Caenorhabditis elegans: one gene and its partner. The protein of the gene in region 1 purifies or fractionates together with the protein of each later gene. This does not show direct contact. Each region holds a gene or a part of one and is shown in the gene's direction. Other genes may lie near its edges.

Region 1 (5,870 bases):
CGCTGTAATTCTATCCCCGGTAATCATGTCTCCAGCGATCCTTACCCCTCTCTGCATGGTCCCTATCATCTTGTCTCCCGGAGTAGGTCTCCCGTTTATTTTGTCTCCATTCATTCTATCGCCATTTATTCTATCGCCGGTTGTTATGGCGCCACTGGTACTTTCCCCATTTGCACTTTCTCCGTTTATAGGTATCCCAAATGCTCTGACTCCACTGATCCTCTCCCCCTTTGTACTATCACCGCTGGTTTTGTCCCCTCCATTTGTGTCAGCTTTTGTGCTGAATCCTTATGCCTTGTCCCCTGCTGTTTTATCAAATGGTGCAGTTTTCACTGCGGTGCTGTCGCCAAGTTGGTTAAGCACCCTTTAAATAGTTCACACTTGTATGTTGTGTCCTCATAATATAGTGATAATTAAATAATTTATTAATAAGAATAATATGAAGAGGAGAGAATACAAGAAGAAATAGGCATTGCAACTAGAAAGACACATTTACAATCGCCTCCTACATAGGGAAGAGAACAGGCGGGACGGGTGTAGGTAACACTATATCGGCAGACAGACCGCATAGATCAAACTATAGATAAAAAACATTTGGTGTGCACAGGACCACACAACAATATAACAAACAGTTTCCCGTTTGTAGGTTTCGTTTGTGGGTTCCCCATCGTTACGAGACCATTGAGTGACTTTCAATTTTAATCTGAAAAAAAGGTTGGCGGAAATTTCAAATTTTTTGAGAAAGAGTTTTAAATTTTTACCGAAATTATTTTGGCGGGAGATTGAAGATTTTTGAGAAAAAAGTCTTGCGGGAAATTCAAGTTTTCGAGAAAAGTTGTAGTTGGGTATTCTAATTTTTTACGGAAAAGTTTGGCGGAAGATTCTATTTTTTCTGCAAAAATCTTCAAATTTAATTTTTTCGGACGAACTTTGCCGAGAAATTCAATCTTTTAAAGAAACATTTTTGAGCTAAATTCATATTATTCGAGAAGAATTTTGGCGGGAAATTAAAATTTTTTGGAAAAATGATTGATTGGAAATTCAACTTTTTGCGGATAATTATGGCCACGTGGTGTCAGGCTGTCCCATTACGGTTTGATCTACAAAAAATGAGGGAATTTTTTGCACAAAAAATGTGACGTCAGCATTTCCTTAACCATGCAAAATCAGCTGAGAACTCTGCCGCTTTTTTGTAGATCAACGTAGATCAAACGCAAATGGGGCACTTTGACACCACGTGTTTGGCGGTAAATTCGAATTTTTGCGGATAATTTTGGCGGTAAATTAAAATTTTTTAATGAAAAGTGTGTAAGGTTGTCACACAAAATTATTAAAAAAAACAATTTTGCACCTCAAATCAGAACACAAAACCAAAAAGTTCATCCATCGTTCTATTATTTATCTATTTGTTTTATCTTTTCATCCTTATCACTTCCCCTTTTCACTTTTTTCATTTTTCGGCATACACAAAAAAAAGGATAAATATCCAGATCACATTAGTATCCAACTGGTATTTCTACTCTTTTTCGGAAGAAAAAGGGTTGGGGGTAACGAGTATGTTACAAGCTGCGAATTAGGGTCGGCTATCTGGCTAATGACTGGGGGATAGCTATCATTCACAATTTTTTTGTCGGAGACTATGATCCGATGGATTTATTTAGTTTTATCTATGAACTTTATTTTCGGTGTTGCTTATGGTTTAGGTAAGTGTTTTGAAAAATGATTTTGTTTGAAAAAATAAACAAATCTATAGAACTTTATAATGAGAACTCCATTTTGTGTTTAATATAAAAGTGTTAAATTTTTTGCTGCAAAATTTGAATAAGACCTGGCACTGTGTATGAAAGTTGCTTATATAATAAAAGTAATTGGAAATTGCTGAAAATTTTGTTTTTTCGAATAGGGGCAATTTTTTCAATAAAAGTATAACTATTTTCAGATTTATCAAACATTTTTTCACCATATATGTACATAATAAATTTTATTACAAAAATTTGGATTATATCCCCGATATGAGCAGTTTTGTAGATTTGCCAAAAAAAAAATTTCATAACTTTGGATTAAAGTTCATCGCGAATTAACTTTGTTCACTGTTTTGCCTAGCTTATTTCTAAAAATAAATTTTAATTTTGCAGACACAAATTCCTCCTCGGATATCCAAAAAAGTGTGCTCCGTCTAAAGCACCAACTCACAGAAGGAACGATCCCTTCTAAGCTCCTTCCATTTCTCAACCTGACAGCAGTAGAAAAAGAGAAAGCCTCACACAATGGAAGTCTGCAGTTTATTGTAGACGATGATTATAAGAAGGGTATTAGTAAAGACCCTCCAGTTTTGAATATAAATGAGATGACACATGACGGGAACAAGACCATCGTGAAGATCTCCGAAGAAGCCACCTACCAACTGATTCAAAAATGGGTGGATCAAGCGGCGTCAGGCTTTATGATGGCCTTGATGAGCACTAAGTAGGTCATTCTTTTCAAAATAGGTGCACCCGTGAATCTGAAATTATATTTTCCAGGTTAAAAGATAAACGCCTAGAACCCCGCCACATCGCCCAGCACAACAATTGCACGCAGGTGGCCAAGTCGATCACGGAGCACGCGCAGTGTGTGGTGACAATTCTCAAGCGTCTAGATGATCAGAGACGGAAGATTCGAAAATTTAAAAAGTTAAAGTTTCGAAGATCCCAGCTGAGAAGAGCCAGAGCAAAACGAGATCTTCCCGAAACATACCGAGAAGACAAGGAACGTGTGGTTCAGCAGAAGCAGCAATATGAGCTGAAGGGGAAGAAGGAGATGACGTCGCCGTTCTCCTTGATAGCAAAGACCCTGACGGATATTGTGAGGGAGAATAAGAATAAGGAGAAGGAGCCGAAGAAAAAGTGGCAAACTGTGATCAATGAGATTAAAGATGAGCTGAATAGGATCAAGCAGAAGAAAAAGGATCAGGAGGATTTTCGGAACGTGTTTTCAAAATACTCAAGGACTATGAAGATGCTTGGTTTGAACCCGGAGACTGCGTTCAGAAGAGCGGTAAGATTTTGAGTGGAACCAGTACCAAGTACCCGATAAATTTTTGAAAAAAATTGTGACTTGGCCGACTGATCTATGTTTGATCTATGTTTGCGATGAACCACTCCCATAGAAAGTTGGGAAATGTCGGTAGAAAGTTGCCAAAGTTTAGCGGAAAGTGTCCAAAATTTGGCAGGAAATTTTCAAAGTATTGTAGAAAGATACCAAAGTTCTACAAACAGTAACCAAAGTTTTGCAAAAAGTTGTCAAAGTTAGGGAGAAAGTTATAGTCCTTCACTGACTTGGATTGATACTGTACCATAAGGTCTTTAAAATTCTAGTTTCTCAGAAATAAAATTTCTCACTACAAACTACAAAAATGCAATTTTACAGGGCCTAGATTCAATTGGTGAAGAGATTTCAGCTGCAAACACCACTGGAAAATTAAGCGAGGAGGAGCAGGTATTGAAGAAGCCGTTGATGATGATTAGAGATGGTAATAACCTATCTCAAAATCTGATATTTAGTTTCACATTTTAGGTGTAAAGCTAGGAATGATGCTAACCGGTCAAAATGTTTCAAACTTCGACGACCGGAAAATCGCACTGATGTCCCCTCAGTTTATGAGTGTTCTACCGGATGAGCAGGCAAATGATACGGTAGACTCCATGCTTTTCAGAAAAAAAAAATTCCAAAAAAAGTGTCCAGGTAAACCTACTCTCCCCTTCCGTGTTTGCTCTTCATGAATCCGGCTCCGAGCTTGACCAAATGCTTTCACTATCCCGAGCGATGAGGTTTCTCTCTGAAAATGGGCATGATGACTGGATGAACTTTGTGCTAGAAGCTTCAGGGGTGACAGAAGCCGTGGAGAAAATGAGAGTGAGTTTACATAGGTGAAGTTTGACTGGAATTTGAAAATAATTGAAATCAAACTTTTAAAGTTCGACGAGAGAAAACAAGAGATGGAGGCGTTCCGTAAGCATTTTTCAAACGAAAATGGGCAGCCAATGTACTTCACACGTCAGAATGTATCAGAGATGTATGGAGATTATAAGACCTCAAAAATTGACTCAATGGAGAAGTTGCACAAGTCGATGTCGGCAGCTCAGGTCAGGAAGGCACTATGAGAAAAAAAAGGAAATTGTGTAGATTTACGGCACGAAGCAAATGACTACGCCGACCAATCAGCGTAGTTGACCACGCTCACTGCAACCCTCTGATTGGCCGGCATACACGCGCGCGAATATGAAATTTTCAGATGCACGAGATGAACTCAACTGGCTACGCAATCATGAGCTCCCAGCAAATCTCCGAGTTCTACGGTCCAGGCTCCCCGTACAACGATTCCCATGCCTATGAGAACTACAGAAATTTGAGAAGAAATGATATTCCAGATATTTTAGAGAATAATATTCATCAGATGGCGCGCGAGGAGCAAGCCTTCAAAGTTGCTAGACAGGTCGGCCGGGAATTGATGCGGACAACTCACTATAAAAATTTTCAAATTTCCAGAAAGATGTAGTGCTGAGCCCTCTCCTCTTCACCTGGATAACGTTGGCTCCTAAAACAGCATCCCAGCCGATCGTCCTCTCCCCACTCGTCTTCTCCCCGCTGATCCTATCCCCATCGGCCCTGGGCCCCCTGATCCTCTCCCCGTGGATCTTCTCCCCACTGATTCTCTCACCACGTGTCCTTGCCCCGATCATCCTCTCCCCCACTATTTTCAGTCCCATCATCCTTTCCCCTCTAGCCCTGTCCCCACTAATCCTCTCCCCAGCCGTCGCCGATCCACTGATCCTCTCCCCTTTCGTCCTCACTCCCTTCATTCTGAGTCCTCTCGTCATGGTCCCGCTGATCTTAAATCCCTTTTGTCTATCTCCCCTTCTGGGCGTCCCAAACACTTTATCACCTATCATATTATCACCATTTGTGTTATCACCATTCGTGTTGTCACCTCCGTATGTCAATGCATTCGTTCTGTCACCGTATTTTTTGTCGCCAATCGTTTTGTCGGATGGTTTACTGTTTACCGCAGTTTTGTCGCCGTCTTTCTTGAGCTCTTTGTGATATTTTAGTTGTACTCAGAACTTTAATAACGAGTTTAATAAATGAACAAATCTGGTTATGCTGAGCCGGCGAAACGGCAAAATGGCAAAATTTTCCTAACGCAAACTCCGATTTATGCTCTGAAAAATAGGTAATTTTGCCTATAAATGCTTGTTTTCATTGAGTTTTGAGCTTTTGTAGATATATCGAGTCAGGAAACATTTTGACCGGTTAGCGTAGAACGCGTGATATTAAGGAATCGAGCTGTAGGTGTGCTGGTGATACTGGGATAATATAGTGATACTGTAGGGTTACTGTAGTTTCGGAAAATAACGAAATTTTGCAATTTTTCAGGGGCGTCAATATATTCATAGATAGGGTTTGGAGCCTGAAAATGTATTAATTATTTACAGTTTAACTTTTTAGGAATATCATTTCAGCTGTAAATTCAAAATGAAATTAAAATTAGTTAATAACACTGAATGCCATAAGTTCAGAATTTGCTGTTTAACTATAATATTTCGTTTTTATGTGAGATCCAAAGTTTGGTTCCAAACAGTATAGTCTCGCCAGTCTCGGCTTATTTTTAACACGAAAAACAAATCATCTTTATTATTGGACTAAACGATCAGAGTGTACTCAACCAGCTTGGTGACAGTACAGCCGTGAAAACTGCTCCACTCGACAACACAGTTGGAGATAGCGCGTATGGAGTAAGCACAAAAGCTGATACAAATGGAGGAGACAAGATCAGTGGAGACAGCACAAAAGGTGACAAAATAATCGGTGTCATCAGATTGGGGACACCA
Region 2 (4,777 bases), on another chromosome or scaffold:
TCCGGCTTCACACCTCCTCGCATAGTAACGAGCTCTTCGGCAGAAGTTGGGTGAATCGCGACAGTCTGATCGAATTGTTTCTTCGTGGCGCCCATTGTGACAGCAACAGCGAATCCTTGGAGCATCTCATCGGATCCAACTCCGAAAACATGGACTCCGACGACTTTCTCGTCTTTTCCGACACAAACAAGCTTCATCGCGGCCTTCTCCTTGTGCTTGGTGACTGCGAACAACATTGGATTGAAGCGAGATTTGTAGAGGGTAACTTCGTCTTTTCCGTACTTTTCAACGGCCTCAGCTGAAATTTTGGGGATTAAATTTGACACAAAGAATTAAATTTTAAAGATATTATACCTTCCGTGAGTCCGACGGTTCCAATAAGTGGATGACTGAAAACCACTGTGGCAATGTTCTCATAAGTCAACTTATTATCAGTTTCACCATTGAACAGACGATGAGAGAGTCGACGTCCGGCAGCAATTGCGACTGGTGTGAGAAGGAACTTTCCAGTATCATCTCCAACAGACAAAATTCCTGGAGCAGATGTGTTCTGGTACTCATCGACAATAATATGCCCAGATTTGTCGGTTTTCACTCCAACACGTTCCAGATTAAGCTCTTTTGTCAGTGGATCTCTTCCGATGGCCCAAATCAAAGTCTGAACCTTTTCGATGACTCCAGTCGTTGTCTTGATTGTCAAAAGACCATCATCTCCTTTGATTACTTCTGTGACTTGAGTATTTTTGTGCAAGTGAAGTGGATTCGTTTCCTCGTCCATATCAGCAGTAAGTTCATCGCTGAGCATTTTGTCAAATGTGCGGAGAACCTGAAAATTATTTAGTTAAACTTGAAAAGTTTCCATGTTCCTCATGGTACCTTATCGTAACGAATAAGAAGATGCGTGTCTGAACCAAGATTTGCGAGAACTCCAGCAATCTCTACGGCAATATAACCAGCTCCAACGACAACGGTCCGGCTTGGCAGATCTTCGAGATCGAAGAATCCGTCGGAATCAATACCGTGTTCGGCTCCTTTGATGTTTGGAATGGTTGGCTTTCCTCCAACAGCGATGAGCGTGTTCTTTCCACGATACTTCGCTCCGTTGACCTCAACAGTTCCGTCTTCTGCAAAAGTTGCACGTCCTCGAATATATTCGACTGAGGATCCTTTCAGTCCACTCTCATAAAGACCATTGAGTCGTTTGATGTACTCATCTCGCGATTTTTTGATCACTCTAAAAAACAAAACAATTAAGAATTATTTGATTAAACTAATTAAAAATTACTCACTTCCAATCAAACTTGTTAAGCGTCACATCAAATCCGTAATCAGCGTGGTCCCGGATGAATTCGGCGTGGAGAGAGCAATTGTACATAACTTTCTTCGGAACACATCCAACATTGACGCAAGTTCCTCCGAGACGTCCAGATTCGATGAGCCCGACGGAAACTCCGAATTCACGAGCACGCCGAGCAGAAGCGATACCTCCAGATCCTCCACCAATCACCAAATAGTCGAACTCCTTGACGCCAGACATGATCGACCTGGAACTCGAATTTTAATAATTAAAAGTTGGAAAATAACAGAACTTGTAAGAACATCGAAAGAGAGGCGCGATTGAAAATTCGCAGAAAAATCAAAGCTTTATTTCTTTTCAGTCGCGAAGTGGACTTTAAAGTTTATTTTTCGAATGAAATACTCAAAATCGACTGACGCAAAAACGATGACAAATTACAAAGATAGCAAAGCGCGACTACAAACATGTGACCGCCCTTCTTCCGAAATTCGAGAGGTTTTATGGAAATTTGACTCCACAAAGACTACAAAAACTTTTTTTAAACCAAAAAGTAACAATTTAATACCTCGAAGTGCTCAAAATGCAGCGAAATCGGAGCATTCAGAAGGGTTCACAGAAGTTTTTAGACATTTGATCAGCAAAAAATAAACAAACATCAAGGACTAAATTGTGCGCCCAAGTTGCAAATAGCTCGCGCCCATTTTGCGAATTGAAAACTCCGCCCCTTTTTCAGCGCGCGAAGAGTTTAAAATTTGAAATTTAGAAGTTTTTTTGGAAATTAAAAATTCCGCTCAATTTTCCAAACGGATTCGCACGCTGGAATAAAAAATGACAGGTAAATGTTGAAAAATGGTCTATATGAATCTCTCAATTTTTCAGAAGTTGAAAAATCTCGAAGCGGCCGAATAGTGAAGCGAAAAGTGTTTGCCGATTTTCAACAACTCGATGACGACTTGAAATCAATTACAACGGAGGAATTAAGAGAGGTAAAAAAGACAAAGAACAATCGCGAACGTTCTTCGCAGTGTCGGGGCAATGACAAATAGAAAGAAACACTGATTTGGTCAATAGTGGAGTGCGCAGAGAAGAAAGACAATTTTATTAGAAAAAAACCAAAAAGAGCGCGAGTGGGCAATAAAATTAAAATAGTGATTATTTATATGTAGTTTCAATCAATTCAATCAGGCACAAGAAAAAACTAATAAATGATGACAAAAGTTTCACTGAAAACTAGAAAAAATGATGACAAATCAAACATTTTTTCAGAGCGCCAGCGAATCGAAGAAACTTCGTCTTGGACCAACTAGAAGATCTTGTCGCAATATTCCGGTACAGCTTTTTATAATATTCGTTTCAATTCTATTCAAAGATTTCAGACAAATTACGAAGAATTAAAAGCGAAAACTGATGCCGGAATTATTCCCGAAACAGTTTATTATCGAGCATCCAACAATTCGATGTACATTCCTTCAATTACAGCCGATATGCTCAAGAATGATGGAAAGTATGAATTAAAACATTTATTATCAGATTTCTTTTTTATCCTTTTTTCAGTGATTTGACTGTGCAAACACGCTCAGACAAGTATTTTAAGTACAATCGGGTCCGCCAATCTACAAAAATCGATTACGCGGAGCCTGAAAAAGTGTACGATATTATATATGCAGTTCGGAAAAGGCCTAGTAAGTCAGGAAATCAAGAAGTTTTTCCAAAAATTTCCCTTTTTAGTCCTATGGGATCAACGCCTGATTTGTCATCGGAATTCGAATTTGTCTCGCCGTGCTTGGGATCAACTCGACTTGGAACTTGGAATAGATGAAGAGTATCCATTGGCTCGGCGTAAACAAATCTGGAAGAGTAAAAGAGATTATTTCGTATCAGCGGTGAACGCCGCCAATCTGAGAAAATGGATTTATGCAGAGTACGGCTGGAAAATTGAAAATAATGAAATGAAAATAATAATTTTTTCAGTGCATTAGAGTTCTACCGTCCAATGATAAATTTCCGAACGACATTCTGTCTCCGTCCAACCGTCGCTCAGCCATCTCAAAGTGTTCATGATAAATTAGTATTGGCTGATAAGAATATCCAATGCACACCTGGTGATAAGAAAAATGTTCTGACGTGAGGAAAATTCCCAACATAAAAAGTGTACTCCTCGAAGAGAAGTTTGCATTTTATTTTTAAAAATTCACAACTTTTGGGTATATTTTGATCTATTTTGAACCATCTTCGCCAATTCTTTTGCTGTAAAAAACTTCAAAAAACAAAAAAAGTATAGAAAACATGATTAAAAAATCCTTTTTCTATTTTCAGCAGGAATTTTGAATACAGCTCGACGGGTGCTAAACCAATTTGGGTCCCGTCACGAAAACTACTGTAACTACAAAACGGTGCTCTAAACTCGAATACAGAAAAAATTAGCTCAAACAGTTCCAAATCAAGAATTTTAGCCGAAAACTGTGTTCTTCTTCTTCTCGAGGAGTACACGACTTGCGTAAATCGACACATACGGCTTAATCCTATTAAATTTTTCCAGATTTCTTCTAAAATCTCTCTACGACACCGGAATGTCGAGTCCCGAAATGATGGCTGAGCATGGACTGGAAATTCTGAAAATTTTCAAGAAAAACGCAGAGTCTAGCAATTTGAAACTCAATTAGCCACCCGCCACGTTTTATTAATTTTTATCACATATTTCTCATTTTACTGCATTTTGTTATACTTCTCGACTTTTCGAATTTTTAATAAAACATAAAGTACGAATTTATTAACTGATTTTTTTGATTTTTAATTATTTTCATTCAAAATCTGAATTTCTATCATCCAACGGTTCCTTCTCTGGACATGACGTGTGAATTAAGTGATGCCAAAATTTCTGGAAAATTTAAAATTAGAAAAAATTAATTTCTTCGAATCAGCCTTACAATAATGTGATCGAAATTTTCAATTGCTAAAAATCCGCACATTCCTAAAAGTAGCATGAAGAATGTTATCAGCAAATATATTTCAACTGTGACGTGTCTGAAAATTCAATTATTTTTCAAGTTAAATCTAGCGTGGCCGGGAAATTTAAAAGAAAACTCGGCCACCTGTTTTTTTCACGGCCAACATTATTATGGAGACGCAAAAAATGCGAATAGTCAGATTGAGGTGCAAGCGTGCTCCACGGCTAAATGCAAATGTCCTGCCCCCAAAAGCTGGGTCTCGTTAGGTATTGGGGACCAAAACGCGAATTTTAACGTTTTAAATGTTTTTTGTGTTTCTAAAAATGTTTTTCGTCATTTTTTCCACTAATTATGTTTAAAAATACGTTTTTAGTTTAAAAAATAGTTCAATTTTTAAATTCCACTTTATTTCATCAATTTCGGCGAAAAAATCCTTACAAAGAACGGAAAATATAACAAAAAAAACGAAAAATGCATGGAAATCGGCGAAACTAATTGAAAAAGTTTGAATTTACAAGGTCCCACCACAACT

What was found.
Region 2: the proteins of mltn-7 (region 1) and madf-8 fractionate together in Caenorhabditis elegans (co-fractionation; one large-scale study listed by BioGRID). This does not show direct contact.

What each region holds. Positions count from the first base shown.
Region 1 is NC_003283.11:368,719-374,588, forward strand, and holds mltn-7 (MLt-TeN (mlt-10) related), read left to right. Parts: upstream 1-1,614; 5' UTR 1,615-1,639; coding exon 1,640-1,703; intron 1,704-2,135; coding exon 2,136-2,466; intron 2,467-2,522; coding exon 2,523-3,036; intron 3,037-3,408; coding exon 3,409-3,511; intron 3,512-3,555; coding exon 3,556-3,674; intron 3,675-3,723; coding exon 3,724-3,894; intron 3,895-3,956; coding exon 3,957-4,124; exon of another isoform or gene 4,125-4,273; coding exon 4,274-4,474; exon of another isoform or gene 4,475-4,527; coding exon 4,528-5,082; downstream 5,083-5,870. Other genes in the region: mltn-6 (MLt-TeN (mlt-10) related), read left to right, coding at 1-370; mltn-8 (MLt-TeN (mlt-10) related), read right to left, coding at 5,690-5,870.
Region 2 is NC_003281.10:3,648,096-3,652,872, reverse strand, and holds madf-8 (MADF domain-containing protein), read left to right. Parts: upstream 1-2,040; 5' UTR 2,041-2,125; coding exon 2,126-2,132; intron 2,133-2,176; coding exon 2,177-2,283; intron 2,284-2,563; coding exon 2,564-2,626; intron 2,627-2,673; coding exon 2,674-2,801; intron 2,802-2,851; coding exon 2,852-2,979; intron 2,980-3,025; coding exon 3,026-3,218; intron 3,219-3,268; coding exon 3,269-3,421; intron 3,422-3,836; coding exon 3,837-3,960; 3' UTR 3,961-4,081; downstream 4,082-4,777. Other genes in the region: gsr-1 (Glutathione reductase, mitochondrial), read right to left, coding at 1-298, 355-826, 877-1,234, 1,290-1,544, 1,863-1,897; Putative potassium channel regulatory protein unc-93, read right to left, coding at 4,098-4,175, 4,225-4,321.